4 linked regions of the Pelodiscus sinensis genome follow. The protein of the gene in region 1 interacts with the protein of each later gene in a pairwise test. Links are inferred from orthologs where the notes say so. Each region holds a gene or a part of one and is shown in the gene's direction. Other genes may lie near its edges. The genes, in order: TRIM23, LGALS8, HOXB5 and AQP1.

Region 1 (7,637 bases):
TGGGTACCCCAAACCCCATCTGTAGCTATGGGGGGGGGGTGTCAGAAGCCAGGAGCTCAGGCAGGAGCTATGGGGCATGAAAGCTCCAAGTCCTTGCAGGAGCTGGGGGAGGAAGAGGAGAGCCAGACAGGACCACAGGGCAAGAGGCATAGCCCTGAGTCTGTCAGGAGCTGTGAGGGCTGGAGTTGAAGAGGGTGGCAGCCCCCACCCAAGTCCTTGAGCTTAGACAAGAGCTATAGGGGGTAAAAGCTCAAAGTCCCAGCTGGAGCAGCAGGGGGCAGCCCACAGCCTAGGACCTGGGCAGGAGCCAAAAGAGAGGGGGCAGCACTAAGCCTGGCAGGAGCTGTGGAGTCTAGAGTTGCATGGGGTGGCATGCTCCAACAAAGACTCCTAAGCCCCAGCTCGGGGTGGGGGAGGGCGGAAGGAGGGAAAGGAAGCAGAAGCCCCAGAGGTCAAGCACAAAGATCCCAGAAAGAGGCCACAGGGAGGCTGGGGAAGGCCTGAGCTGGGCAAGAGCTGCAGAGGGTGGCAGCCTACTAGACAGGTCTCCTGAGTCTGAGCAGGAGCTATAGCTAGAGCCTGGGTGGCCCCCAGACTAAGGAAGAGCTGAAGCAGAGAGGGGATAACAGCAGCCCAAAGCTGTGCCAGGAGTTGTGGGTGGCGGTGGCGGCAGCAGCAGCCAACCCAGCTTCCCCGAGCACTGTTCCCCAGGCCATCTGCCCTGAGCTCCAGCAAGAGGCAAAAAGGGTGGAAGCCAAGAGCCCATCTTCATTTTTGTGCTGCCTGTGGAAATAAATCTGATCTCCCTCTGTCATGCAGGGGACAGCTAAGTCTTGTCCCTCTGCAACATGGCTGACCTCAAAAAAGTCACATTTCATAGGAAAGAGTTTCACGATTCTTGACATGCATTTCATGGGTAGGGCCCTGCTTATGTACTTGAGTAGTCCCACTGAATTCAACTGTTACAGGATTGTGGACTTCATCTTAAATTACTCATTAGTGCTACTTAACATGAATGTGCAGGTACAATGATAAATGACAATGCCAAAAGCAATATCACCTTTATTCAGAGACAAAAAGGAAGACAGATTATTTAGTGCTCTGCTCTCATTGCTACAGGTTCCAATTCACTACTGACAAAAATTGTCATCACGGCACTATGGAGTTCATCTCCCTTGCATGTTTGACTTGAAGTACATAGAATAGAAAACTCATTAAATCAGTTATGGACTGTGGAGACGAAGAAATAATTAAGTATGTAGTTGTCTGTGGAGCAAAGAAGAGTTAGAAGACAAAAATACATATGGATATCAAATGCTATCGTCTTACGAACATGTAAATATTCTGCTGCACATGCTGAAACTCTTCTGCAAACTGAGGTTATTGCAGAACACAGAGTTTTCATCACCCTAAGTCAAAGTTGTTTACGTGCTCTGTGACTTCCACAAGCTTTCTAGCCTTTCCCTCTCCAATCCATGCAGAACAGTATCACTACAGTAGTCATCCTTTTCCCAACTAGATCTTCTCTCACCCTCACGCCTCTTCACCTGCAAAGCACTGCATAGCTTTCCCACCGCCCATAGCTTTGTGTTTCTTTCAATCCGACTGAGGTGTTTATAGGCTTGACCAATCTCCTATTAATAAAACAACATTCTTCACTTGTATATTTTTCCTTCAAAGAGTTTGAAGTACTTATTCCTGAGTGAAAAATTATGCACCAAACTCCCATACCTTCTGCAAATGCTGTTTGTTAATGAATAAATATGGAGGTTCCATCACGGCAGTGGAAAACACAGGTCACTGGCTGCATGGAGGTGGATGATCATCGTACAGCCCTATGCTCACCCTTATGGACTAGCTGCACCGAAGCCTAAAACAAGGGAAGAGCCAAGCCTGCTCCTAATATATCCCAGGATCCTGTCCCTCTACACCAAGCGCATCAGGTATGTGGAGGCAGGTCCAGATTGGCAAGATCCAAATGTAAAGGGGTTTAGTGTGTGGGTGGAGGGGATCCAAGTGTGCAGTGAGTTCTGTACGGGGCAATGTGGATGCAGGTGGACTAGTGGGGGCTTGAAGTATGGGAGTTCTGGATGCAGGAACAGTGGTTGGTACTCTGCATGAGAGGTCTGGATGTATGTGAATGGTTCTCAAAATGGGTTCTATTGTGTGTGTGTGTGTGTGTGTGTGTGAAGCTTGTTTGGATGGGGGCCCAGGTGCATATGTCTGGGGCTTAGAGAAGTAACAGGCTCAGTGGGGTAGTCCAGGTTAGGGATATAAGCAACTCATCTACTGCCCAATAAGCATATGTTTATTGGGTAGTCAAGTACTGACTCCATTAGTCACTTCCCTCTGTCCCCGACTTGCTGCCACCATGAGAGAGAAGCAGAAGTTGGGGGAAGCAGGAGCCAGTGCTGGGGGAAGACAGCTTAAAAGGGCCAGGAATCAGCTGTCCCGGCTCACGCCTTTTTCTCCCATTATGCCTCTGCCTTCTAGAGGTATTTAGAGCCTGGCAACTTTTAATACATTTAGAAGGCAGAGATGCAGCAGGGTTAGCTCCCAGCCAGTTTCCCTCTTATCAACGAATCGAGTAGTCGATGGAAATTTCATTGACTACTCGACTAGCTGACTACCTGCAATTTAACATCCCTAGTCCAGGCAAAAGTGTATTAGGCTCTCTGTATTAGGCTGCACAGAAGCTGCACAGAAGCTTGGGGGTGGGTGGGGATTTGGCTCTGTATGGGATGGTTCTGTCTGGAGACACTCATTTGTTGAGTCATCTCTCTAACTGAGTTCCCTGAAGTCCGTCCAGTCAGGTTTTCTGGGCCCTGGAGCACAATACATGCTTAAGATTTAACCTCTTCTTGCCTGTGCTGTATCCAGGAGGAGGCTGGATTATGTTAGTAGCCAGCAGCAACCTTAAGGTGTTAGCTGCTTTTTGACAGTGGGCAGGGAGGCAGGGACAAAATAGTGGATGGTGGGGGAAAAGAGAGGAGTTCTGCAAGGATATGCTACTACCCACTGTGTAGTGTGCATGCATGCGTATGCATGTTTTCTCCCTGTGAGCTCTCAAACTTTAAAAAATAAGACAGATGGCCACTCACTTGAAAGTGAGTAATTTTTTCTGTCCTATATTCAGCATAGGGAGATATGGTCACCCTACACACAACCCACATCGTCTGATTACATAAGTGTTAATCTCTGCCCAAGTCCTACTGAAAACTAGCCTATGATGCAGTTCTTCCCCGTCTGCTACTGCACATTTCTGTGACACCTCCAGCAAGTGCAGCGGTAAGCAGGCAGCCCCCAGGACAACACCTGTGCGGTTGCTCTTTAGTACACGCAGGTCTTCACTCTTCCTCCAAAGGCGCTAGTCGCACCGGCCCGCTTCTCATGCCACCCCGCAGGGCAGGGCAGCGCCGCCTGAGCAATACAGCCACTGTCAGGGCTAAGGGGGAGGCAGGGGCCCACCCCCAGGAACCCGCGACATACCCCCGGCCCGCTTCCCTGCTCCACCCGGTGGCCCCAACCGACAGCCGGTGCCTGCGCCTCGCTTTCTGCCCCACCCCCGGCGGAGGGCCTGGGGCTGAGGCCTTCCAGGGACGCGCTTCACCTGCCGGCCCAGCCGGGGAACGGGCCGCCGCGGACGCAAAGGTTTGGGGGAGGGGCGTCGAGCTGCCGTCTCGGTACCTTTCAGAGCCAGCAGATGCTCCTGCTTCGGCTGATTCACATCCATGGTCTCGGGCACCCCACGCGGAGCCTTCGCCGCCCACACCCCGGCCAAGCGCCTGCCAATGGCGAAAGGAACACGACGCGGCTCCGCAACTTGAGCCCAACCGAGCGAGTCCGGGAAAACCCGGAGGTGAGTTTCCCGGCATGCAACGCGCCATTTGGGCCCCAGCAGGAGCGAGAAAGCACTACACCCCCCAGCATGCACTGCTCCCTTTGAGCCTTGGCACGCACAGAGGAGCACGAGGGACTTGCGCACGCCGAGCGGTGATAGGAGGAGTAGTCTTCTAGGGAACCTGGACTAATCGCGTTGCATGCTGGGAGTTTAAGTCTTCTCAAGGTGACTGAGCGGATGTCGGCGTATTATCTCCGAACCTGTAGTTTTCACGAGTTGAGAGCCATTGTATGATGGGAACTGTAGTCTTCCTACGTCTCACGGGGAATGAATGAGACGCATGCGCAGTGACGTTGTCGGCGGCCTCCGGAGAAAACCCCGGCAGGATTATTTTTCATTTCTGCGCGGATGCTTCGCGTAGTGACGTCACAGCGCAAGGCCGGTGGCGTCAGCGCGTGGCCCGTCCTCCTGTCTCTGCTGGCTTATTGGCTTGTTGATGCGGAGGTGGCTCGTTCCGCCTCCCTTTCCCAACATGGCGGCTATGAGTGTAAACAAGGCCGGGCCCGGAGCGGCGCTGGATACCGGCCCCCGGCACAGCGGTAGCCGGGGGCCGGCTGGGGCTGCTGTCAAGGTAAGAGGCACCGCGTCCGCGCGGGGGCTGCCCGCCCGGTTCGTGCCACAGCGCTTGTCGGAGCGTAGTGATGCTGCGCCCCTGCCCCGGGAAGGGGGCTGGGTGGTGACCCGCGCGGGGCTCGCAGCCTTTTCCCAACTGCGTCAAACAGCCCCTGTGCAGCCGCCGCCGCCTCTTCCCGTGGCTTCCGCGCGGGCATGGAGAAGCCCGCCAGAGGGAGGACGAATGATTTGCTGCGGCTCCTGGGTCCCGTCGGCTCCCGCGAGTGCAGGCGGCAGCCCGCTGGGAGACGAGTGGGCTCCTAGCGTGGGGGCGGGGGTTGGCCCTACCGACTGCACGGTCCGTTTAAAATCTAGGGTGTCACAGCTTCAGATCTTTAAATCTGAAATTTCATGGTGGTGTAACTATGGGGATCCTGACCCAAAAGCGCGGGACAAAGCTGTTTTAGAAGGGTTGTGGTATTGCCACCTCTATTTCTGCACTGCCTCCACAGCTCGGTGTCTAGAGAGTGGTGGCTGCTGGACACCAAGAACCCAGCTCTGAAGGCAGTGTTGACAGTTGAAGTAGGGGTAGAGTAAGGGTGACAATAACATAGCATGTTACCCTTTTGCGCTGCTGTGCGTAGCCTTGACCAGGAGCGGCCACCCAGCTCTTCAGGTAATGCAGAAATAAGGGTGCCAATGCTGCTATTGTCTTCTGATAGCCAGATTTCATTTACAAGACCATATTTCACAGTCCGCTAGAGAGTCTGGTGAGGAAAGTCAGGGGAGGGAGGCACCATTGGCCACGTGATTCTCCCCACCCCACCCCTGGCTGGAGGACGGCTTACACAATGCCTCTCTGCCTCAGGACCCACCTCTTCCTATCGCGGCTCCACCCCTGTCCCATCTCTTTCCCCAAGACCTTACCTAGGAGTTATGCAGCCTGCAGGACTAGCAGAAGTTTGATGCGGGTAGCAGGGTTCACAACCTCCCTGCACTCACCCACAACAGTGAAGAGAAGTGGAACAAAGCACTCCCCTAATTGCTGGCTGCTGTTGCTCTACTTCCCACCATTGAGTGCAGAGGAGGGTGGTCCTGCCCAAGCCCCAAATGGTTGGTAGCTGGGATGGAGGAGCAATGTTGCTCTGCACCCTTCCACCCTCTCTCACCCAGCCACTGCAGTTGAGTGCAGGGGCCAAACCCCTGCTGTGAGCACCATGCTCCCTAGCTAGTTTCTTGGGTTGTCCAGAATCTCTAGCCCTTTGCTCATCATGCCCATAGTATTAGGGGGATCGTGTGCACCCTCGGCCTTCTTTCATGCATTATCTCTGCAGTCCTAGCTGTGAATTTGGTAGGGCCCTAAATAGGGATAAAATACAGGACTATGTAGCACTTTAAAGACTAACAAGATGGTTTATTAGATGATGAGCTTTCGTGGGCCAGACCCACTTCCTCAGATCAAATAGTGGAAGAAAATTGTCACAACCATATATACCAAAGGATACAATTAAAAAAATGATGAACACATATGACAAGAACAAATCAAATTTCAGAACAGAGGGAGGATGCGGGCGGGGGGTGGGGGGGCGGAGGTAGATGTCTGTGAGTTAATGGTATTAGAGGTGATAATTGGGGAAGCTATCTTCGTAATGGGTGAGATAGCCAGAGTCTTTGTTGAGACTCAAGCGTAGAGTGTCTAATTTTAGCATGAATGACAGTTCAGAGGATTCCCTTTCAAGTGCAGATTTAAAAGGCTTTTGAAGCAGGATGCAAGTGATTAAGTCGTTGAGACAGTGTCCTTTCTGGTTGAAATGGCAAGAAACTGTTTTTTCTTTGTGATCCTGTCTAATATCTGTTTTGTGGGCATTGATCCTTTGGTGAAGTGTCTGAGACGTTTGTCCAACGTACAAAGCAGACGGACACTTTCGGCACATGATAGCATAAAATATATTTCTGGATGTGCAGGAATATGTGTTCTTGATCTTATAACTCACTTGGTTAGGTCCAATGATGGTATCAGCAGAGAGAATATGTGGACAAAGCTGGCACCGAGGTTTGTTGCAAGGGAAGGTACCAGGATTGGTATTAGTGTGGTATGTCCTGTGGTTGTTGGTAAGAATCATCCTGAGGTTAGGTGGTTGTCTATAGGAGACTATGGGTCTGTCTCCCAGAGTCTCTTGAAGTTTAGTGTCCTGTTCCAGTATGGGCTGTAGTTTATTGATAATGTGTTGGACAGATTTAAGTTGGGGGCTGTAGGTGATGACAAGTGATGTTCTATTGTTGGTTTTCTTGGGTCTGTCTTGAAGTAGATGGTTTCTAGGTATTCGTCTGGCTCTTTCAATTTGCTTTTTTATTTCTCCGGGTGGGTAGTTGAGGTTTATAAATGCTTGATAGAGATCCTGAAGTTTCTGGTCTCGTCAGTGGGATTAGAACAGTTGTATCGAAGAACGGTTGTATCGAAGGGCTTGGCTATAGATGATGGATTGTATGGTGTGTGCTGGATGGGAACTGGAAGCATGTAGGTAACTGTATGAGTCGATGAGTTTTCTGTAGAGGGTGGTCTCTAATTTTCCATTGTTAATTTGTACTGTGGTATCCGGGAAATGGATCTCTCGTGTAGAATGGTCCAGGCTGAGGTTGATGGTGGGGTGTAGATTGTTGAAATCTCTGTGGAACGTCTCCAGTGTTTCTTGCCATGCGTCCAGATCATAAAGATGTCATCGATATAGCGTAAGTAGAGAAGGAGTAAAAGGGGACGGGAGTTGAGGAAACGTTGTTCTAGGTCAGCCATAAAGATATTAGCATACTGTGGGGCCATGCGTGTATCCATTGCTGTGCCGCTGATCTGGAGGTATAAGTTGTTCTCAAACTGGAAATAATTGTGGGTGAGAACAAAGTTACATAGGGTCTGGCCCATGAAAGCTCATCATCTAATAAACCATCTTGTTAGTCTTTAAAGTGCTACATAGTCCTATATTTTGTTTCAGCTACAACAGACTAACACGGCTACATCTCTATCACTATTCTAAATAGGGATGTAAGCAATTAGTCGCTTCCCCCCACTTGCTGCTTCTATCAGAGAGAGGCAGCAAGTGGGGTAGCATGAGCCGGTGCTGGGGGGAATTGTCTTAAAAGCTGGTTGTCTCCAGCACTGTCTCCACAGTGGACAAGGAAGGCAGAGGGC
Region 2 (8,248 bases), on another chromosome or scaffold:
ACTCCTACCAGGCTCTTAATGTTGTGTCATGTCACAAAACATTTGCAAGCCACCTTATGTTTGGCTCACTCATTGACAAGAATGATTTACCCAAACTGACATATTTTCTTAATTCCAAACGGCTTTTTTGTGTAAATTGGGAAATACTTCACACCCAGAGGGTTTTCAGATATTATCTGGCGACAGTAATTATCAGACAACCCGTACCACCTCGTGGTACAATATGGTATTGCAATCTTTTAGTCTTCAGTAGTCAAAAATGTGATCACTTCTTGAAATGAAAAATAGCTAAATATTTTTCAGCAATCTCTCAACAAGAAGATATGCAACATTTAAAAACTCAAAAGACAGGATGGTCCTGTAGGTATGGTATGGCACTCAGACTCAAGACTTTTGTTCAAATCTCTGCTGAGCCACAAACTTCCTCTATGACCTTGAACGAGTTACTCAATCTCACTGTATCTCAGTTTCCCCTGGGCAAAATGGGGCTATTACTATTTCCCGTCTCTCATATCTGTTTAGATTGTAAGCTCTTTGGGAGCAGGGACTATCTCTTGCTAAGTGTTTGGATAGCATCTAGCAAAAGGGAGCCCTGATCTTGTTCAGGACCTCTAGGTATTACTGTAATGCAGATAAATAAGATACAATTTTTACCATTAATTCTTTGTATTAAGACAGAATACCATAATAAAAATTAAAAAGCTATTATACCATTGGTTTGTAATCAGAACTCCTCCAGGTACGTCTGATTTTAAAAATAAATTACAATGTTGCCTATTGATTTTAAAAAGTAAGACAGTGAAACAGCTTTCAGTATCCTTTCACTTGAACTAACACTGGCATTACGTACACCATGTGTATTGGATAAATTAACTAGTACTACCTGACACAACACAGCAATGGTATGCTTAAAGCAGGGGCGGGGAACCTTTTTTGGGTTGGGGGCCACTGACCCACAGAAAAAAAAATCAGTTGGAGGCTGCACACAAATGAGAAGCAAACATACAAACAAAAACAAAAAACCCCTCACTGATGTGGCCCCTGGCCTGAGAAGGAAAAAGACACTCTGAACATTTCCTTCACACACTAGAGCTTAGGGGTGTCCATCCTAGTAGATTTTGTGGGATGGTGGGGGAACTGGAGCACCAGCATGGGCTTCCCAATGCTGGGGGAGGAGCTGAGCCTTGGGGGCCGAATCCAGGCAAGCCAAGGGTTGCATCAAGCCCCTGGGCCTGAGGTTCCCAACCCCTGGTTTAAAGGAATACCAGTGAACAGCCTTCTCAGATGGGAGGAGGCTATGAATGTCATGGTGCCTGCTGGAACTGGTGAAGTAACAGGGGCATTTTTTTTAAGTACCTGTACTAGTTGGTGCAGGGTCTGACTCATAGGACTGATATTTTTCAAAAATCACTAATCTACAAGGCAAATCTAGAACATTAGTCAGGGCTAAAACATTAACTTACCAAAGAAGAATCACAAGAGGCCACTAAAAACTCTCAGCCAAGAAAAGTGTGTAAATGGGATAGGCTATCAACTTATTTAATCGATTCCTAATATAACAATATTGATGATCCATTATTATCCATTATTGATGATCCATTATTATATCCAATTAAAGCTTTCAAGACTCTTAGGGTAAGTTCAGCCAGCACATGTTTGAGCCTGCACTCAAGCCCACCCCTCCCTTGCATCCACACACTAGCTTTATTAATCTAGGTATAGGTGCTAGAACCAGGGGTGCTTCTGCACCCCTGGCTTGAAGTGGTTTCCAATATTGACAGGATTTCAAGTTTGGTTCAACTGCTCTCAGCACACCCACTATACAAAGTGTTGCAGCACCTCTGACTCTAGGGCTCAAACCTAGAATTCCTGGATCCTGCAGAGCTGGAGGTCCAAGCCCAGTGGCTTTTCTGCATGTATGCAGCCCTCGCTTGACTTAGACACATACAGAGGACTTCTGCTATCCCAGACTCTTTGGAGCAAATTTCTTAGTCTTCTCTATGCCAACAATCCTTGATGTAGTCTATTGGCAGTGCCAATGGGAACAAGTCAGAACAGTGTTAAACCCTGGTTTGCTGTACACCTATGTGTTCCCAGGGCTGGGGAGGGCTGGAGATGCGCACTTCCCATTGGAGACGACGGTGGCCTGCTCCTACGGTGCGGGGCAGCTTAGCTCCCACAAGGACCTGAGCAGCAGGGGTGGGGCTACAGGCAGAAGGAGTAGGGTGGGGTCTTACCTCCTCCAGCCCTATATTCATCCACTGTGCATGCCTCAGTTGCTCCCTTCAGTGCAGTTGCCAGATCTCCACTTTACATTCTGGCCCCTGCTGTGCTCCCAGGGGTTGCGTGGGTAGGTGTGCCCAGGAAGCAAATGGGAGCCTGCCCCAAAATCTGCCCTCAGCTTCCTGCAGTTGGCTCCTTGCTGCTGAACAGAGCTTGCCTGGAGCAGGGTGCAAAATTGAAAGGTGGGAGGCAGCTCTTGGCTGCCAGGATGGTGGGGATCATCCCTCCCCCAGCTGTGCTGAGGAGAGCAGCTGCTTGGTCCTGCCCTTGCTCCCAGCTCCTCCGTCCCTGATCTTCCAGAAGTTGCGTGTGCTGGGGTGCCTAGTTAGCATGCGGTGTAAGTGCAGTGAATGGGACTCATCCCCAAAATGTCCCCACACCTTCCTACAACCTCTTATCCTTGCCTCCTGGGGTGCATCCAGGGCAGGGATACAGGGTTGGAGCACACTGCATCTCAAACCCTGTGGGTGCATTTCATTCACAGTCAGCAACAGCCAGGGGGGGAGGGAGGGTTGCTTTTTCTTTGAAACTTATATTTTGTCAAACTTTGGAACAATCCAAAATAAGTAAATAAACCAATTAACCAAAAACAACTACTCTGAACATTCCATTTTAAAAATTAACAATTGCAACAAGGTTTCATTTTAATAGCTGGACAGCAGTGGAGACTGATGTCCTAATTATCCTCAGAACAGGTGCACCTCCAGCTCTGCCCATTCTTCCGAGGCCCCATCCCCCATCACGGGGAAGTGGAATGGCATGCGGCCCAAGCCTCTCCAGCCCCAGAGCAGGGGGAGGGCAAAGGGCGTGTGGCCTGAGCCTCCCTGGTCCCAGAACATGAGGAGGGCAGAGGGCATGCAGCCCAAGTCTCCCCAGGTCTTGAGCACAGGGAGGGCAGGCACTTGGGGGCAGCAACACTCTTCCCCCTCCCCCCCAGTACACCTACAGTAGGTGTTCTGGAGGCAAAGTATGGGTGGACCCAGGCTGGCAGTTGGGAAAGGCAATGCCTTGCCCCACCTAGCATACCCGCTGCCCATGCTGCTTCTCTTTCAGACCCCACGTTGCCATCAGCATGTGTGAATGCTGTTTGTGGGCACTTTTGCTCACAAAATACTTCCATCCCCTATCAGATATGTTGGCATGGAATATACAAATTTAGGGCAGAGCAAGGTCCATGTAATCAGGAACTTAACAGCTATATTAAAAGTTCATTATATTCTTCTCTGTTACACCTCAGCCTCCCACTAACTGGGCTGCAAGAACATACAAAGCGGGCAGGAGTTTTTGCCTCAAAGACGGGGCGGCCTGTGAGCCTAGGCGAGCTAGGCAGTTGCCTAGGGTGCCGCTGCCCCATGCACCCTGTGATGACGTCACAGCCATTGACGACCGTGCAGGCAGAGGCGGCGATTGCGCCGCTCCGCCTAGGGCGCCAGCTGCTGCAGCTGGCCTCGGGCCGCTCCTGCTCAAAGAGAATGTTTGTGCGGGTTGGACTGTCAACTTTCTAAAAGCCAAAGACCCTTACCCCACTCCCTGCCTTTTCTATTCTTTGAGGCTACATGCTCACTTTTTCTGCCCTCCCTCTGTCCAGGGCCGGCCCACAACATTTTGGCACCTGAGGCGGGGAGCTGAAATGACGCCCCATGCCTCCTTGCTTGGGCCAAAACTTTGAAAGGTCTCAATTCTGCCTTCTACTTGTTGTACTCCTCTCATGGTACTGCTCTGCTACCTACATATGCACCAGCAGCAGACACAATTTTCTACACTCTGGGTCCCAGTAGCACCCCTCCCCCCAAGTCTGGCACCTGAGGCGATTGCCTCAGTTCACCTCAAGGTAGGGCCAGCCCTGTCTCTGTTCTTGCTCTCCCCCACCCTCATTTTCGTCGGACAGGGGCAGAGGGTTGGGATGAGGGTGATGGCTGGAGCTTTGGGGTGGGTCTGGAGAAGAGCGATTTGTGGTGTAGGAGGAGGTTCTGGGCTGGGTCTGAGGGGTTCAGAGTGTGGGAGGGGGTTTGGGTGTGATGGGGGTGTCCTGGCTGGGGCAGAGGGTTGGGGCACAGGGAGGGATTTTGAGATGTGGGTTCTGGGTGGTGCTTACCATGGGGGGCTCCTCGGAAGCAGTGACATGTACCTCAGTTCCTTGGCAGAAGTGTGGCCAGGCAGCCACACTGCATCTCAAACCCTGAATCTGCATATTGCCTGCCCCATAGCTTCTGTGACCATCCCTCCCCCTAGGAGCCACAGGTCAGGTCACTGCTTCTGGGAGCTGTGAGGAGCCAGGAAGGGAGCCTGTCATCTTTGTGCCAACTGGACTTTTAATTGGAGCTGCCACTGTCCCTTTCCAGCTGGGTGTGCCAGGGGAAAGCCAGACACCTGGCAACCCAAACTGAGGGAGTTGTGATGGACACAGATTTATGAGGCTCTCAGCAATTCCCTAATCTACCTTAAAAATTTTTTTGTTAAAATTAATACAATTTGCATTAAGCAGCAAGGGGGCCAGAGTTTGCACCTGTGTAAACACCACGTTTCAGTGCTGAGGAGGAAAGGCCGTTTTGATGCATTTCACTCCAACAGTAACGGAATGCTAGAGCCAGAAGGTTCCATAACAGTTGGAGATGACAGTTGTGCAGCTGGCAGGAGAGCAGTGCTGTGTGGGATAGGGGGTAATATGTAGCCACCTTAATATTTGCACAGGGTCACCAGTACAAGCCTGCCCATGCTACTCAGGCCACACTGCTAATTTATTGCACTAGCTTGAGCAGAGCTAGCACATCCATAGCAATCTAAACTGGCAATTACGCCTCCCAGCTGCAGTGCAGACAGCTCCCTGGTGGCCATGGCAATAGAGTGGAAACAGGAAAAGCTCACCAGTTTCCAACCCCAATCCCAGGCTGCAAATGAAGGTAGGTTAACAGCAGATTCAGAGAACTGTCAGGGAACAGAAATCTGGAGAAGGACAAGGACCCATATGTTATCCTGCTGCTGCATTACATACTACGTGTAGCAGATATTTTTGCAGCCTGTGTCTGTCTGGCTTCCTGCAGCTGATATGCCAGTGGGAAATGATGGAAATCCCACCTTGTGCCAGGAGCTGCTGGGCTCTGACCAGGCTTTCTGGTTGGGTGAGGTTTTTCTCGCTCAGGCTTGGAGCTTTCACTTGTCTCCGTGTACCTTAAAAAAGGAGTTCTGGAGAGGCAACTAAACACCAAACAGCACTCCATAAGCTGTGACAAGGGACCCCCACACAGGAAAGAAACTGTCATATATCACTGAAAAGCTTCAGAGGGGTAGCCGAGTTAGTCCGTAACAGAAAAACTTAAAAAACAACAAATAGACAAGTAGCACCTTAAAGACTAAACATGTTTTATATATTGTTGAGTTCGCTTTGCGAGGGGATTGGGTACCTGGGTTACTGGGTTAGGATTTGTGATAGAGTGAAACCTGGGAGGGGTGGGGAGTCTAGGGCCAATTTTGGGGCCTTTTTACCTGTCCTGCTGAAGCTAAGTCTCAGTCTCCAGATGAAGAGGGGGGTTACCTGGCTGCCTGAGGAGATGGCATGGGAGAGATGCCAAATGCTTGCTACTTGTAAAAAGTTCAGTGGTGAGCTGGTAAGACAAGACTGGAGATCAGGGGTTGGCAACCTTTTCAAACCACAGAGCCAAACTACATCAAAAAATTCAGAACAAGTGGTCAACAAAGAATGCTCATTTACCTGGCTGAAAATATGCAACTTCATATTATTGATAATTGATGTGATGATCAGGGCTCGACGGGCGAGTAGATTGTAATCCAGAAGAGCTGGGTTTGGGCGATCTACGTATGCGCAGAACTATCTACGCATGCGCAGATTGCTGGACAGTGTGGCTGGCGAGCGGGGCTCGCCGTGGTTTGGCAAGCCCTGGTGATGATTAATAATAGTATACATGAAACATTGTACTCACAGACTTTATTTAATGGGACTTCTGCTGCTGCATCTTTTCGCACATTTCTTTGAAGTTTACATCATAACTGTTCAAATTCAGCCTCATGCATGCATTCAGGCTGTCCTCTGTCAATCCTGAGCGCAAAGTACCTTTGACATGATTCAGGGGGGTTTGGCTGCATGATGGGCTCAAGGCACAGGGTTGGGGTGTATGGGGGGTGCAGGAGTGTTATGGTAGGGGTCTGTGGATGTGGGGGTGCAAGAGTCAGGGATGGGATGCAGGACGCAAGCCAGGTGTTGGGGGTGGGAAACAGAGTATGTGGAGGGGCCCTTGGGATGGATTACCTTGTCTGGTTGGGGTTGGGCTACTGTACCTGGGCAGCAGTGGCTGGACGAGGGGCTGGGCCAGGATTATCGCAGCAGGATCATGGCCGCCCCTCCTACCCATGCTGCAGCAGGAGTGGAGGCTACCCCCAGCCCTTCCTGAGGCCAGATGGGGGCTGGACTATGGGGCTTGCCCCAGGATCAGGGCAAGGGCCAGGACGCTGCAGCCAGATGGCATCAGAGAGGTGAGGTTGGTGGCTGCCCCATGTGCTGAGGCTGGAGCTGGAGCCAAAGTGCAGCTGCTCCTGGAGCTGCACTATGGCCCTGGTCCCAGGAGCGGACACACCACAGCTCAGCTCCAGCTCTGGAACACGGGGCAGTTACCCACCATGCAGCTCCGCTAGACCGCATGGCAGCCGCTGGAGCTGGAACCAGGAACGTGGTGCAGCTGTCCCAGTACAGACAACTGCACCGTGGCCCGACTCCAGCTCTGACATACAGGGCTGCTGCCCACCACACAGCTCCACTAGGCCATGTTTGGTGCTGAACCGTGAGCCATAGGTTGCTGACCCCTGCTGTAGATACTAGTGTCCTGCAAAATCTGTGTCCTCCTGATCATTTTTTGGAAGCAAGGTAGCAGAAGACAGACATGGGGCTGATTTAAGTTCCCAACTCTATACCAAGCAGGATGCTAGAAGGAGAGCTAGTAAGCAGCTAAAGAAAGAATGTCATTCTCCTAGGCAGCAATTTTCCCCAGGATTAAATTCATACTACTATTTTAAAGTGCATACAAAGAAATTAAAGTATGAAATGAATAATGCAATTGGTTTCAAAAGGCAGTTTTAAACAGTAACCTACCTCTAGCAGAAACAGAGGCACAATAAAAAATAAACCCACATTGTCAGCATGGGAGCTGAGAAACTTACACTGGTCCTTTAAGAAATGTCGGTAGAAAGAAGTCAGGCTTTCTGAGCCACATGCATGTGGTGATGTCATTGTGTTGGTCCATGGGAATTAGGAAGTAGAAGTGGAGGAACCATTTTTCCTGTGCAAAGCAGAGTAACCAGCTGAATTAAAGCCGTCAGAAATGGATATAGATGCATATGCTTTACAGTCAGATTTCAGTTTGAAGCTTGGAAGAGGTTATTAGTTACAAAGGTAAGTTAAATATAAATTAAATATGATTAAAACAGATTGACAGTATCCTTTCTGGAAAAAAAGTTGAAATGTTTAAAATCCAGGTGTGTGTGGAGGCAGAGAAAAAGGATTGAATCCAGTGAGGGGGACCATACAGAAGAAACAAAGCAAGAAAACTAAAATGGCAAGGTTAAAATTGTATTTTAAAAATGTCTTATGTTATTAAACTCCTCTGATCATTAAAATTTAAACCTTTAAAATTAATTTATTTTTCATGAAGGTCTTCTTTTGTTTACTTTTTAGGTTTTTCTCAAATGAGTCATTCACTTTATACACTCTGTATTCACTTTCTACTTCTGATGTACTAACACAATTTTGGAAAATTCAGGGAACAGACATTGCATGGGAACGTTTAGAGCCAAGCAAATTAATTTTACTGCACTGCTTTATTTTTAAAGGTGGACATTTCTCTTACTATCATTATTATGTAAAACTTGTTTTTTAAAAATAATATCTGTGCTTTGTGTTTAAATAGCCCTGACTACATCTCTTTAAGAAATTCTTAAATGATAATCTGACTGACTT
Region 3 (8,210 bases), on another chromosome or scaffold:
ATAGCCCCATATTCTGCATGGCTGTGCAATTCATCCCAGCTGTTCGCGGTTTTGCTCTTAGACACATTTTGCGTAAACTTTCTAATCAAATGTCTGAGCGTTTGCCTTCTGCAAAGCGATTCACTTCATTGTGTTCAATACACGGTTGTTGTTGTTTTTTTCCAACGGACTGTCAAGTTTCTCTTTTAATCTCGTGTTCCCATGCCCATAAACCAAATCTGCGTAGGTTTGGGTCCACTCCATACACAAAGGAAAACTCTGCAAGAACAAATATAATAGACATCAGTCAGAAAGGAGGGGAGAGAAACTATTTCCTTTGCATGTTATTTCCTTGAATTATAAAGAGAACGCTCCGACCAGTGCCCACGGCAGGGATGGCATAAAATCCTCTGGCTTTGGAGCTGTAAACACAGTGTTTAAAATAAATTCGCTCCTAATAAGAGAACAGTTTCATAAATTGGCAGAAATTGGCAGTTTTGTAGTGACCATGTAAATGATGTGCAATCCTAGGGCCGAAGCACACACATCTAGGTGTGTACGTGGTGTTTTGTATATTTCATTGCATAGGACAGACAGACAGATAGGTATGAATTTGGAAATGCCCCTGAAACCACTCCATTTTCAGTTTTATTGCTGAGGACATTTCTGAAAAAAACACGACTCTAACATGCCTGGCCAAATATTTAAATCTCACCATGTCTTCTGCTAGAGCAATCTGAAGAAGCGACTCGCCACTGCCAACCACACCTACCGCTAATGAATACAAGCAGAAATATGAGCCACCCCTCTCAGCCCAAACTCATTTCATTCGGTCTTTCGCCCTAGTTTGGAGGAAAAAAACCCCACGGAATTTCGAGTTTATTCCTTGAGAGGTGTCAACTTTTTTTTTCCCAAATAAGTCCCTGGTAGTGGGAACCAGACCCACATGGAAAGGGGGTTACAATATGAGAGCCAGAGTGATCGTTCCCCGTTAGACACGCCAAACAACTGTATTTAAAAAAAAATCTTGATCAGTGGCAATCGATACAGACAGTTCTTGGCCGTAAGCGAACGCTGCCTGTGTAGGGTCGGAACATAGATTTGGTATGAACAATAAAACGCAAGAGGGCACAATTTGGGACATATGTCTAGTTCTAGATGAGTGTTTAGCCCGGAATAAAGGTAACACTTCGATTCCCATTCATCTCCTGGCTGTGCAACTCTTCCACAAAATAAGTACCTAGAATGCGATGAGGCAGCGTGTGACCCTTTAAAAGGAAGCGTTTTCTCTGTCAATCTATCCATTGGATAAACCTGAGAAATAAGTTACCAATCTTGACTTCTCTTCTCCCGTCTTCCAGCACCCACCTTTCCTTTCCTATATCCGAGCTAATTGAACAGATACGGTCTATTTAGCCCCACCCCCATCCCGATAAAAAATAAAGTAAAAGTTGCTTTCGATGCAAAAAAATAAATAAATAAAAAAAGAAAGAAAAAGAAAAAGAAAAATCATAGCACTATTACCCACATAGTCTGCAAGCAATAACAGGCAACCAGGGATTAAACTTTGCAGAATAAAAGGATTCAACTTTCTCTCTCTCTCTCTCTCTCTCTCTCTCTCTCTCTCTCTCTCTGTTGTATGTGTTTGGTGTATGTGTGTGTGTTTTTAATGATTGTTTTAGAGACTCCCAATGTCTGGGGATTTCTCTCTCGCGGATCATAACGTATCTGGTGAAGGGGGTGCGTGTGGTAGTTGAAAAGGGAGGAAAAAAGAGGGGTCGGGTGGTTTGTTCTGGGGGTCCCCCGTGCACTGCAAACCCCTCATGGGTGCTATTTTGCAATCTCAGGCGCTCGCGATTGGTCAGTCCATGATCAGATGGTTCTACTTCCTTGTGTCCCTCGCTGGCTCCCAGCCATCCCCTTCAGCTAAAACCCAATCTCCGATATACTACTAATAGCTAAACCACTTGGACTATAAAACACAACAAATCATAAGGCCGGGGAAGGACCGCTGCCTCCTCCCAATGAGTTCTTATTTTGTCAACTCCACTTTCCCGGTGAGCCTGGCCGCCGGGCAGGAGCCTTTCCTGGGACAAATCCCGTTATATGCCTCGGGATATGCGGATCCTTTAAGACACTACCCCGCTACTTATGGAACCAGCGGAGTGCAGGAAAAGGGTTACCCTTCCTCCTCTTACTACCAGCAAGCGAACGGGGCGTACAGCCGGACCTCCGCCTGTGACTATGGGGTAGCAGGGTTTTACAGGGAGAAAGACCCTGCTTGTGCCAACCCCAATCTGGAGGACCATGTCCCGTTTGCCTCAGACCAGCGGAAGTCAGACTGCGCCCAGAGCAAAACTGTTTTCGGGGAAAGTGAGGAGCAGAAGTGTTCTACCCCAGTCTACCCCTGGATGCAGAGGATGAATTCTTGCAACAGTGAGTTCCTTTTATATATATATATATATATATATTTATTCCGCCCCCCCACCCCCGCCGCCTTGCCCCCTCCCGCCTCTTCTTATTTGCAAAAGGAAAACAGGAAATTTAGCGCAGATCCAACTTCCAGCAATGGACGGGACTCGAAGTTATGCTTGACACAACCCAAAACTTTATGGCAGTCTTGCTCTCTCGCCCGGTTCTTTCACCAGATCCTCTTTTTTTTTTTAAAGACACACACAAAAAAGTTTGTGCCATACTTAGACAAGCCCGTATCTTCTTTCTCTTTTGCACGCTGTAATCCGTATGTCACTTCTTTCCAATGATTTATCTAACTCGGTGTCTTCTGCACATACAAGAGAGATTTCTATTCGCAATGACAACAGTATGGCTACACACACACACACACACCAACACACTCACTCACGCGCGCGCACACACACACACACCCTCCCCTCGCTGGAATTAAATAATGTAAAAGGGCTTAAATATTTGAAAAGAGAGAACTACAGTTTTAATGAAACTCAACGCGTAATGAAAAGTCTGCCATGGGAGAATGCTCCCTCCCCCCCCCCCCCCCCGTGATGTATAGCTGGTTTAAGTGCTATCTCTTCAATCCAAAAATAAAGTAACAGTCCTCCCATGTTTACATTCATTATTTGTTGCCTTTTAAGTTCCAAATTGATGTCCATTAGTGTGAGGACATCGAGTCTTGGATCCCCTTTAATGCACAGAGTTTGTCTAGATCGATATACTTCATTATTGCTTAAATGCCCAGATCTATTACTGCTGCCGGTAGGGAGGAAAAACACAAAGGTGTGTGGGGGTAGAGGGGAGAGACACCTTGAGATTTTACATAATGGAATAAGACAGACCGAGCAGGGTCTTCCAAGCCCGGCACTCAAATGGCTGGTACTGGCAGAACTTTTCATGCCTTCGAGCTATGCAGGAGAAGCAGCAGACAGCAAAGGGAGCAATGCCCATTGCAAGGCGAACTCAGGGGGTTTGCTACGGGGCTGGCTTTGCAAAAGAAGGAGCCCGGGGCACTTTGCCTAGATGACTTTGGGTTGGTGCAAGGAGGTAAAGCGGAAAGCAAAGGCAGAACGACAGACTCCATCGCCCCTAAACAGAAACTCTGCAGAGTTCTAAGTGTCCGGCCCAAATGGCATTATGATCTGAACTCGAATAAACCTTTGGGTATCCTCTCCTTCCCCCCTTCCTTGCCTAACAGGTTCATCTTTCGGGCCAAGTGGCAGAAGAGGCCGGCAAACCTACACCCGCTACCAAACGCTGGAGCTGGAGAAAGAATTCCACTTTAATCGCTACTTGACCAGGCGTCGGCGAATCGAAATAGCACACGCACTTTGCCTCACAGAACGACAGATCAAAATCTGGTTCCAAAACCGGAGGATGAAATGGAAAAAGGAAAACAAACTGCTCAACTCCACGCAGCTGAGCGCGGAGGAGGAGGAAGAGAAAGCCGCGGAGTGAAAAAAAATATTTAAGAGAAAGAGCGAATGTACCCACACTTAGAGGAGGGAGAAGGTGGGGGGGAACGGGTTGGAGTGGCATTAAAAACGCACCCCGACGTGGTGCACGCTTTGTAAAATACCCGAGACAGTTTGAAGGTGGCCTGCCACCGACATCACTTTGCACCGATGGACTCGTGATCAGTTAATCTGTCGTGTCATAAAAATAAAACCAGGCTTCTAGTTGAGGGTTTTTTTTCGTTCTATTCCTCCAAATATAATATAATATAAAATAATAATAATTTGGAACTCTTACCTGTGTTTCTCCCCTTGGTGTCACTGTTAGTAACCTGCTAACTCTTGTATTTAATGGAGGTGCTGCAATATGTGTCATTTTTGGTGTTTATTGTCTTAATTTTGTAAAATGTTTCATGCACGATTGACTTATAGATTCCCCCACCCCTGGTTGCTTTTTCCTTTTGGTAAATTAATCAAACCCTGGGGTCTTCGTAATTAGTTTCATTTTTAAGAGGAAAACCTACTGAAGGAACAAGTACTACCTACAAAGATGCAAAAGCAACAACAAGAAATATTCTATTTTATTAATTTTTGTACGTGTCGTGTTTGTAGTTTGTCTTAGGTATGGACCTGGAGTACTCTAATAAAAGCAAAGTATTCGCACCCCTGCTCAGCCCGTTGGTGTCATTAACAGTATTATTAGCCCTAGCTATGAAAATGTGCCATTCCTGTGCAGCTGAATGGTTGCTAGCGAGGCAGGCTCTGGTGTTACCCGCGTGTGACACTTCTAATCAGCTAGGACAAGCAACTGGCGGCATACGGACGTTACAGTTGAGAGATAAATCTGCTTTTCCCTCTTTTTGCCTAATCTGAAATGCGGGACCTTTCACCAACCATATCTCCGAGCTGACACTGTGCTTTAAGATGGCTTTTTTATTGTTACAGTAACTAGAGTTATGAGGGAAAGCGTTCCATATACATAATAAATCAAAGGAAGAGGCAAAATTCTGCTCCCACCTCTCGACCGAAGATACATAATGTTTGTCGAGCATCTTTCAAACATCTGGCCCCTTATTTCACTTTCCAAAATCAGAGAGATGGGCAGTGTAAACAAAGCGAGGTTCCAGGCTTTTCCTATTTATTTTTTAGTTGAAACTTTTTTTCCACTCCAAGACGGTGAGCATTATTTAAGCATAAAAAAAATAAAATCAGTGAGGGTGTTTTCTAAATGGACGTACACACACCTCTTTCAGCTGGCTCTCCTGGCAATGTCATTGTGCCTTGGAGTTTGAGAAAAGCTGCTCTCTGCGCTCAAGACCGAAGAGGTCTTGGAGAGGCCATGGAGTAAACTTTTCTTGGCTTTTTCAAAATGCACAATGAACGAAAAGAAATGGTGTTTCTCCTTGGGGTGAGCAGATTTAAAACAAAGCCATTGCTCAACTCAATTCTAGTCACATGGAGGAGGCTTCACGCGAGAGAAAAAAATGCTTTTTCAAAAGAACTATTCCTCCCCCCCCCAAAAAATACCTATGTATTAATGCATTCCCTCATGTCACAAGCTGTTTTAATGCCAGTCACTTTTAAAATCAATTCATGCAGAAGCGGCACAGCTGTAGGACATTTACTATTATTGCCACTCTTTTCATTGCCCGTAATTATTATAATTATATGTCACTTTCAATATGGCGCATAATTTCCAATGAGTTGCAGACAAGCATTTGAAATTCCTAAACTGCCTGGAAAAAAAACCCCAGCAGCGTTGAACAAAAAGCACCGCCCGGTCAAGTTTCAGGTTTTCCTTGCTACCTAATATTTCTTGCAGGTTTGCGATGAGGGGAAATAGAATTATGTTGTATTGAAAGGGGGGTGTGCGAGAGGGAGGCTAAGTCCAAGAATATCTTAAAAGCAACATTGTCACCGAGTTTCAACGGCTGATCTCTCTTCCTGTCGCTTCCCTCCAGAATTACAAGGTGTTACTGTGCACTTGATAATATGATGAGAAGGTGGAGAAAGCCAAACTTTCATTGTGCCAATTAAAATAAATAAATTAAATAAATAAAGCGCACATGCTTTTTTCTTCTTCTTTCAGCAGGCTCCGTTATTTTCCCAAGGTATTCAAACAGAGAAGCGCCAGTTCCAAAGGTGACTTGTCCGCCCACTCCCCACCACAAATGTCATTATTATAAAAGACGGATCATTTAAAAACGGTCACCACCCCCATACAAAGATCACAGGAGTAAAACTGATTGTTGACAATAATCCCCGAGTTGGATCTGATCAACATTTTTTCCCTCCACTTGCAAAATTAAATAAAAAAATTAAAAAACCATGACAGCAGATGCTCGGGATGAACATGGATGAGGGGGCATTTCTGTGTGTGTGCTTTTTAACAAAAGAATAAAAACACGAAGAGTGCAAATTGCTGCGAAATTACTTTAAAAATACATTAAAAGGTGGGTAGTCACCCTGCACGCCTGCTGAGTCACCCTGCGCCCAGTAGGTGGCGCATTCCGCCAACGTGGAAAAAAATCTCTGTCTTCTGAATTTTTTTTTTCCAGGCTTGCATTGACTTGGGCCTTAACGATTCTCAGATCGTCATTATTTGTAACCATAGAGCATGAATTACCTCTTGAGGTCATCAGTGAGAATTTACGACTGGTCAACAAAAGCACGTGATTTCCAAACGCACCCCCACCCCCCCCATATTTGGCCGCATACATAGCAAAAACGAAGTACAGTGCATTGCTATAATTCATTAATACATCATAAATCGTCAAGCACCGGGTTATAACGACCACGAGCCACAAATCAAGCCCTCCAAAATAACCCAAATGAGCTCTTACTTTGTAAACTCGTTCTCAGGGCGCTATCCAAATGGCCCCGAGTATCAGTTGCTAAATTATGGGACTAGCAGTGCTATGAACGGGTCGTACAGAGATTCAGGCACCATGCATTCCAGCTCCTATGCCTACAACTACAATGGGATGGACCTTAGCATCAACCGCTCGGCCTCCTCTAGCCACTTTGGGGCGGTGGGAGACAGCTCCCGCAGCTTCTCTTCACCGCCAGCGCAGGAGAGCAGGTTTAGACAGGCGTCTAGCTGCTCCTTGTCCTCTCCCGAGTCCCTTCCCTGCTCCAACAGCGACAGCCATGGAGGCAAACCCGCCCCGTCCCCCTCCGACCCGGCTCCTTCTGCCGGCACCAACACAAATTTCACAGAAATAGACGAGACCAGCGCGTCTTCGGGGACCGAAGAGGGCACCCAAATAAACAGCAACAATATTTCCAGGGCGCAGACAGAGCCCGTGGCTACATCCACAGGACCAACAGAAGGGCAGACACCACAAATATTCCCTTGGATGAGGAAGCTTCACATTAGCCATGGTACAGCTACTTTTTATTCCTCCCCTCCCTTTTCCCCCTTCTGCTTTTTTTCCCCCTTCCCCTTTCTTCCTTCTTTCCCCGGTTTTATTTGAAGAGCGGAGGAGGCGCCTGATTAAGAAATCCAGCTCTTTCTCTCCTCGTATTTATTTATCTGATCGGTGCTTTTAAGCCGAAAACTGCCTTCCGTGCCACGTCTTTGTAACCCTGCCGCGAAATGTGAGGTTATTTAATATATATACATATATGTATAGAGAGAAAAGGTCATTCAAAACTGCGGGGAGATTTGCGGATGGGGGAGGAAAGGTGGGGGGCGGAGGGGAGAGAAAAGGAGAGGGGAGAACTAAAACGGGCTTTATCTGGACAGATGGGGCTCCCGGTCCTTTATTATTTTGGGTGTGTGTATTCTTGACAATCTGCTAATTACAAAATAAAACCCACGAGCACACTGCACCAGGAACAGCGGTTTGCAAAGGGGGGGGGGGGGCAGGGGAAGTCAATATTTTGCAGATCCAAACACACGCACACACAGTAGGTAAAATGATAAGAGTTTTAGGGTGCAGTTAAATCGTGAATATTGAATTGTATATGCCGGAACTGGGAGATTGGGGGGAGGGTGTCTACACGTGGGGGAGGGGAGGCTATTTTGAAATAACCAAGTGCACATTCATGATTGTCCTGGGAGGGGAATAATTTGCCTTTTGATCTAACAAAAAAAAACCAAACCCAAACCCAATGTTGTCCGTATCATTCAGACATGACTGGACCAGACGGTAAAAGAGCAAGAACCGCGTATACTCGCTACCAGACCCTAGAATTGGAAAAGGAATTCCACTTCAATAGATACCTCACCCGGAGGAGGAGAATAGAAATCGCCCATGCCCTCTGCCTGTCCGAAAGGCAAATTAAAATCTGGTTCCAAAACAG
Region 4 (7,750 bases), on another chromosome or scaffold:
CGGACTGTCTGACCCCCCAGGATGCGGTCCAGGGCCTCATAGTAGGGGCAGGCCTCCGGGTCAGCCCCTGGTTGGGAGGCCCTGGAATAGGCCTGCCGCAGCTCCTTGATTTTGCTGTGCACCTGCTCCTGGCTGCGTATGTGGCCTCTGGTGGCCAAGCTGGCAGCCATGCAGCTGTGGACGGCCACATTCCTGTACCTAATGTTGAGATCATGGACATTGGAGGCCTCCCCCCAAATCTCAATGAGGCCCACGATCTCCGCACTTGACCAGAAAGGCACCCGCCTTTTGCGGCCCCTGACAGGCTCTTGGAAGCCGCCAGCCTGGTCCTGGGGAGCGGTGTAGGGCTGGGTGTCAGCGGGTGGCTGGCTCATGCTGTGCCAGGTGCACGGTCTGCTGGCTGTGTGCTGTCAGGCTGGCAACTGGCACAGGCACTGTGGCCAGAGTCTGCTCCTTTAAGGGCTCTGGGGCTAGGGCGGGAGCAGACAAGTTTTCCTGGTTTGGCCCAGAGTGGCACCAGGGGGAACTGGGAAGGGCTGGAGGCCCCCTAATTCGAAATAAGTGTCTACACAGCACTTATTTCGAATTAGCTATTTCGAATTAGGTGTTATTCCTCGTAGAATGAGGTTTACCTAATTCGAAATAAGGGCTACGCTCTTTCGAATTTATTTCGAAACAGCAGTTTGTATGTGTAGACAGCTATTACAGTTAATTCGAAATAACGTCTGTTATTTTGAATTAACTCTGTAGTGTAGACATACTTAGACTCCCAGGATAGCGCACATCTCTTCTCCTTTGACTTTTAAACTCCCTTCACATCAGTGGAAAACTCCCGGAGATACGATGTTTGCTCTGTTGACAGCAGAAAACACATTTCAAAGGAGAACCCAGTATTGTGTCTCTCATTCAAATGGCAGGGAAATCTGAGCAATTAGGCATATCAGGAAGGGTAGAATAAACTCCTTGCATAAAGCTAATGAACTAAAGTATTTTATGAGGGTTTGTCCACTTGATGCATTAATGCTGACTGTGGGCTGTGATTTCTAAAGCATACTGACATGTTGCACACTGATCGGCCTGTGGACCCTGCTGGTGCACTCTGAAGGTGACCTGGGCTATGTCTGCACAGCAGCGTTATTTTGGAATAACTAACGTTATTCTTTAAAATTTAAAAAATATACGGAGATATACCTATCTCATAGAACTGGAAGGGACCTTGAAAGATCATCTAGTCCAGATCCCTGCCCTCAGGTAGGATCAAGTACCATCCCTTACAGATTTGCCCCAGATCCCTAAATAGCTCCCTCAAGGATTGAACTCACAACCCTGGGCTTGAGTGAAATAACAAAGAGCATATCTACACTGCAAGCCATTATTTCAAAATAATAACAAGCTGGACGACTTCTTACTCTGACTCTTGGTAACCCTCATTTCATGAGGAGTAAGGGAAGTCAAAGGAAAAGCACTCTTCCTCCAACTTCCTGCCGTGTAGACGTGCCAAAAGCCGAGTTAAGCTACTCTGACTCAAGCTATGCAATTGACGTAGCTCAAGTTGTGTAGCTTATTTTGGCTTTAGCCCTGCTGTGTGGACGTACCCCAGTGAGCTCTAACAGCATACTGCATTAATCATTTGGCATGAGACATAGGGTTGCTTGCTAGGGTGATCTGAAGATATCTCAGCAAATCAATTCCCTGCCATTGCAGAGGGCTGGGGCCCTGGTACACCAGAGCACCTGAAGATCTCTGCTTGTGGCACACACTATTTTAGTTCTGTGAGGGCTCTAATACTTGAGTCTAATTCAGCTGGTTGGGTTTGCTGCTGGGGTGGTGAGGGACATTCAGTAGCCTGTTGTGTAGAGGAAGTCTGACTGATGTGCTGGTCCCTTTTAGCCTTAAACCGTATGGCTGTGTCTAGACCGGCCGCTTGAATTTCCACAAGAACACTGACTTCCTACTGTCTGAAATCAGTGCTTCTTGCGGAAATACTATGCTGCTCCCGTTTGGGCAAAAGTCCTTTTGCACAAAGCTTTTGCACAAAAGGGCCAGTGTAAACAGCTCAGATTTGCTTTGCGCAAAAAAGCCCCGATGGCGAAAATGGCGATCGGGGCTTTTTTGTGGAAAAGCGCGTCTAGATTGGCACGGACGCTTTTCCGCAAAAAGTGCTTTTGTGGAAAAGTGTCCGTGCCAATCTAGACGCTCTTTTCCTCAAATGCTTTTAATGGAAAATTTTCCGTTAAAAGCATTTGCGGAAAATCATGCCCGTCTAGATGTAGCCTGTGACTTTTATGCACATGGAAGCTGATGCAGATAAGATAGGATGATATATCATAGTATTACAGAGGTATCATTGGCAAACATAGATTTCTGCCTGTATCTCATGCATTCTTTCTCTGATTGCCACCAGTTTTTGTACTCTACCTCTGTACTATTATTATACTGAGGGGACTGACAGAATTGCCCCTGAGCAAGGTGGGGAGTGCCTGGCTCTTTGCTCCTGGAAAAGGCAGGGCTTTGGGCAGAAAGGGTGGAGTTGGGGCATGCAGTGTTTTGAGGGCCATTTAAAGATCTCGGAGTTCTGGCCTCCATTGTGGTAGCAGTCCTTTTTCTTTGTTGTTGCTGTTTTGTTTCACTGGTGCAGATATATTTTGTAGGTGTATAAAGCCTGTCCTAAAGAAAACCAAGCACATCTGCTGAACAGAAAGTATAAGAACATAGCACAATAGATTGCAAACAGGTTAGCACCTGGATTTTGATTTTACATGAAATTAAATTGAAAAGAACTGAATATCTTTATAAAAATCTCCTTGACTACATAACATTAGCTCTGTGTGTATCTGTCAGATTTTTTTTTCTTTTTTCATACCCATAGTACATGCTGTGTGAATTTAAAATCTCAAATGGCAAGTAGGTAGAATTATAAATTCATAGCAATACATAATAATAATGGTAAACTTTTTTTTTCTTCTCCAAGAAGAAGGAAAAAATCAGGCTGATTTTAAATTTATTCATGCTCTAAGAACTGTTTCCCCACCCCTGAATTTGGATCAGCTCACATAGGAACTTTGAAGCCAGTGTTTGAAAAATGAAGATACTTTGACTTAGAGAACAATGAATTGCCAGCCTTTAAAGTGCACACAGATCTGATAACACAGGGGAGGTAAGCCAATGAAATTGCACGGGTCTTAAGGCGGCAACAACTGAGGCTCTTAGACCTTTGGCACTTAAAGATGTATTGGCACCTTTGCAAGATTAATTTTGTATGCAAAATAAAGCACATCGTTTTCATCTTCCTCTCTGGCCAGTACTGTTTATCTGCAGCAGCAGAAGCCAGTCGCCGTGGTGACAACCAGCACAGCTGCCCTCTGGAAGACGGAGGTTAAAGAAAAGTTTGCATACAACTTTCACTGCAGGATTTGGGCAAGTACTCCAGCGTTGTGCTTATTTACTGAGAATAGGGGTGTTAACAGGGGAAGACTTGAGAGACCCTAATAGTTGTTACAAGAACATAATAAAATGGGTGCATAGTATATAGGCTATTTGTAAATATATATGAATGGCACATGCACATAAATGACAAGTACAACACACACACACACATATTTTATTTGGGGCCAGATTCTAATCTCAATTACACCGGTAAAAACCAGAATAGCTCCACTGTCTGCAGTAGAATTATTTCTGATCATATAGTTATGCATTATAAATTCTACAATTTATAATATATATAAATATATACATAAATGTGTAATATCTGGGTTTCTATTATTCCTCTCCAGCTCACCTGATGAAGTGGATTTTGCCCATGAAAGCTCGTGATACTATATATATCTTTGTTAGTTTTTAGGGTGCCACAGGACTACTCGTTGTTTTTAAAGTTACAGACTAACGCAGCTATCCCTCTGAGACTTTCTGATCATAATTAGACATGTATAAAGCCTCCAAATTACTTCAGTGAAGTTCTTCCAGATTGACACCATAAAACCCCCTTGGGATCTGAAACAAACTATAGAGTCTTTATAGATTGACACCAGTGCCTGATTTAAAATGAAATACAGTGTGATCTTTACAGTCTCTAGAGAGCACTTTTAGCTGTCAGTTTTATTATTTATCCACTTTCGCAGCCTGCCTCTGCTGTAACTGAGAGCAATTAAAACACAATCCTGCACAGATACCTTTTGGTTGAGTCCAAAGAGAGAGAGAAATCCTGTAAAACCTTGAAGCCCAATCTGCATGCTCAATGACCACATAGAGGGTAACCAAATGATGGTAAAACTTCTGGGGCACCCCCTACACATTCTTTTATAAGGATTTTAAAAAGCCTCTTAAAAACAGCAGCAGAGATCGGAGTTTCTGAGGGGAGGGGAAAAGAGGAAAAAAAAAGTAGAGAAGAAAAAACTTTGGCACGCATGTACTGCCTTACATCAATCTATGTAGATGTTCTTTCCTCCTTTTGTGTAACACCCCTTTCCTCCTACAGACCACCCAAAGCCCTATAAATAATCCAAGCACTCTGTTTTTTCTTCAGCTTTCTCCTCAGACCTCAAAAGAAAAATATCAAGCAGGGGAAGGGAGGGTGTGTGAGAGAGAGAGAGAAGATGGCTAGTGAATTCAAAAAGAAAATGTTTTGGAGGGCAGTAGTGGCTGAGTTCTTAGCCATGAGCCTCTTTATTTTTATCAGCATCGGCTCAGCACTGGGCTTCAATTTTCCTGTAGTCGGCAACAAAACAGCAACAGCCACTCAAGACAATGTAAAAGTCTCTCTGGCTTTTGGGATCGCTATTGCCACCATGGCACAAAGTGTGGGTCACATCAGCGGTGCGCACCTGAACCCGGCGGTGACCCTGGGTCTTCTGCTGAGCTGTCAGATCAGCCTCTTTAAGGCTTTCATGTACATTGTTGCACAGTGCCTAGGGGCCGTGGTGGCCACGGCGATTCTTTCGGGAGTCACTTCGTCTCTTCCAAACAACTCCCTTGGACTCAATGCGGTAAGCAGATAAGCTTTTCTCTTTCACTTTCAAGAAGTGCAAAAAACTGTGTTTAAAAGAGGTTTAATCCAAAACCCACTGAAGTCAATGGACACCTTTGCCTTGACTTCAGTTGCCATAGGATCAACTGTTTAAGGCTTATACGGTCACTTGGTAGCACAGCTACTCCTATAATCCTAAGGATAGCTAAACCATCTTCTATAAACTCCAGTCATCTGAAGAAGTGGGCTGTGCCCACAAAAGCTGATGATACCATCTATATGTTTTGTTAGTCTATAAAGTGCTACCAGACCATGTGTTGTTTTTCTGTTTATCCTGTACAGACTAACTCGGTTAGTTAGCATCTTCTGTAAGACAGAGATCAAAGAATGGTCCTCTTTCCCCTGAATCAAGGTTGTATGTTTGTGATTACTGGAATCACATTATGTTTGTGTTTGCTTTTCTGTGTCAAGCATGAGATAATCAATGCTACCTAATGATTTTTAGATGCCCTAATGATTTTTAGATGCCCGATTCTCATTTAGAATGATTGGTAACTGGGTGTTCGAATTCCTTAGCAGACTTTGAAAATCTCAGGCTACGTGCCTGGTTCTGGTGATGGATGTACATTTGTATTGTGTTCAGGTTACTCTGGGAGGCTGTCAGATTAGGGGTTCAGATAAGGCCAGCTAGGATGCTGTGTAAGAACATTGGTACAAATCTAAGTAACCACAGAGAGAAAAAGAGGGAAAAGGGGTAGGGGCAGGAGAGATCGGTAGCAAATGAAACCCTGTGGTCAAAACTCTACAATGAAATGCTCTTGGTGCAGATTTGCTCTCTGATATAGAGTCATAGCTGCCACTTGTGTTTTTGTTTATTCATAAACAGACATATGGAAATGTCGAATTGTGAATTGCACTGTTCGTGAGGCGGGGAGGCAACTGTCTATGAAGGCACCCTGGATTCAACACTTTTACAACCAGATGTTTTTTTGGCTGTGTGACTGTGGACAGGCATTTCATTAAAGCTGCTCCGATCATTTAAATGCAGCTGTTCCTCCTTAAAAGGTTGGCATTTGGCCAGAGTGGCATCTAAATGGATACACATATCTTTAAGCATTTGTCTGGCTTAGAAGGAACCTATTTTCAGTTTCAGTCACATAACCACAAATACCTTGTTAGTGCTACCTATAAGAATATTAAAGCTGGGATTTCCCTTATGGCTAGTTACTCGATCTGGTTGTATAAAGTGCATTTATTTCACATCTTCTGGCTGTTCCCGCCCATATAAAAAAATTAAGCTGCAGTTTGTGACATTAATATTCAGCATCCAGTTTAATTGAGGGAGCATATTTGCAAGTGAAGAGTTTGATCAGAATGTGATTTTACTATAAGTAACTCCTTTAGAAGAAAGAGAAACAAACAAAAAAGTCAGGGAGTATGAAATGAACAAACAATGTAGTGTGGTTTAACATACTGTGGAGTCATAGGCAACTACAATTAATATTATGAAAAATATAGTGAACGTTGATATTTAATTCATTACTCCAGACTAAAATTGGGTGTCGTCAGTCTTCATGTTCTATTCCAATATAGGTTGCTTGTTTACCTTTCTGGAATCTGTGGATACAGGAATTTGATAATCCATCTATCCACTCAGCTTCTAAATTTGGATAATAATTATGGGTCTGACTCAAAGCCCAGGGGAAACAATGAGAGTCTTTCCATGGACTTCAGTGGGCTTTGGATCAGGATTTAAAAAATGGTATGTACTCATTCCCTGTGAAACCAGTGCCAGGGGGAACTAGACCATGCAGGAGTGAAACACATGGGACATGAAGTAACCAAAGAAGGCTCCTGCAAACACCTAGCTGCCAGCTGCCATTAAATGCGGGTGGTCTGTTTCCCAGAGTTTTAGCATTTGGATTTCCTCATCTGCACACTGGGCAGCCATAAAACTCTTGCACATTGGTTCACCCTAAAATTCAGAGCCCTGAATCTGGACTTCTGTAGAGTGGGTACGTGACACTAGTCAAAACCCCTCTTGTTTCTTTGACTACCTCCAAGTTACAAGGATTATATACACTGGGTGCAGGCAAGGGGTCTATGGACCTTGAAGAGAAGGTGTCAGGGAGGCGGGGGGAAATTCAGAAGATGGTGCTGAAATGACAAGAAGGCAGGGAAGAAAATCATACAGGGCTAATAAAGCAAATACGGGCTGTCTGGGAAAGCAACCATCCCTTTAGAAAAAGTGTGTCCTCCACTTGGGCATGTGGCCTCAGCTTTTAAACAGACCACAAAATCAGGAACTACTGTATTTTCCGGCGTATAAGATGACTGGGCGTATAAGACGACCCCCTAATTTTCCAGTTAAAACATAGGTTTTGGCCTATACTCGCCGTATAAGACTACCCCCCCTTCCGAGGCAACACCATTTAATAACATCAGATTTGATTTATCGTACTTGCACGCCCGGGGGCGGCCCCCCCCATAGCCATGCGCCCGAGGCCGGTGCCCCCTCCGAGGGCTGCACGCCCGGGGCCGGTGCCCCCACCCGCAAGTGCCACGCGCCCGGGGCCGGCGCTCCCCCCGCCAAGCGCCACGCGCCCAGGGCCGGCGCTCCCCGTGCCAAGCGCCGACGCTCCCCCCGCCAAACGCTGTGCGCCCGGGGCCGGCGCTCCCCCCGCCAAGCGCAGCGCGCCCGGGGCTGGCGCTCCCCCCGCCGGTGCTCACCGTGCGCCATGTGCCCAGGGCCAGCCCCGAGCACCGTGTTGGGGACCAGTATCA

What was found.
Region 2: the proteins of TRIM23 (region 1) and LGALS8 interact in binary tests that used the Homo sapiens proteins (3 or more experiments, as listed by UniProt). The link is inferred for Pelodiscus sinensis from reciprocal best matches to the Homo sapiens genes TRIM23 and LGALS8.
Region 3: the proteins of TRIM23 (region 1) and HOXB5 interact in binary tests that used the Homo sapiens proteins (3 or more experiments, as listed by UniProt). The two-hybrid records come from large-scale screens. The link is inferred for Pelodiscus sinensis from reciprocal best matches to the Homo sapiens genes TRIM23 and HOXB5.
Region 4: the proteins of TRIM23 (region 1) and AQP1 interact in binary tests that used the Homo sapiens proteins (3 or more experiments, as listed by UniProt). The two-hybrid records come from large-scale screens. The link is inferred for Pelodiscus sinensis from reciprocal best matches to the Homo sapiens genes TRIM23 and AQP1.

What each region holds. Positions count from the first base shown.
Region 1 is NC_134716.1:90,184,344-90,191,980, forward strand, and holds the start of TRIM23 (E3 ubiquitin-protein ligase TRIM23), read left to right. Parts: upstream 1-4,188; 5' UTR 4,189-4,337; coding exon 4,338-4,472; intron 4,473-4,563; exon of another isoform or gene 4,564-4,697; coding exon of another isoform or gene 4,698-4,811; intron 4,812-7,637. Other genes in the region: TRAPPC13 (trafficking protein particle complex subunit 13), read right to left, coding at 3,688-3,733.
Region 2 is NC_134713.1:127,305,975-127,314,222, forward strand, and holds the start of LGALS8 (galectin-8), read left to right. Parts: upstream 1-4,910; 5' UTR 4,911-5,183; intron 5,184-7,525; exon of another isoform or gene 7,526-7,684; intron 7,685-8,248.
Region 3 is NC_134739.1:14,168,231-14,176,440, reverse strand, and holds the start of HOXB5 (homeobox protein Hox-B5), read left to right. Parts: upstream 1-4,716; 5' UTR 4,717-6,733; coding exon 6,734-7,286; intron 7,287-8,038; coding exon 8,039-8,210. Other genes in the region: HOXB6 (homeobox protein Hox-B6), read left to right, coding at 2,004-2,415, 3,647-3,906. UniProt on the Homo sapiens protein: Sequence-specific transcription factor which is part of a developmental regulatory system that provides cells with specific positional identities on the anterior-posterior axis.
Region 4 is NC_134712.1:249,461,948-249,469,697, forward strand, and holds the start of AQP1 (aquaporin-1), read left to right. Parts: upstream 1-4,377; 5' UTR 4,378-4,595; coding exon 4,596-4,985; intron 4,986-7,750. UniProt on the Homo sapiens protein: Forms a water channel that facilitates the transport of water across cell membranes, playing a crucial role in water homeostasis in various tissues.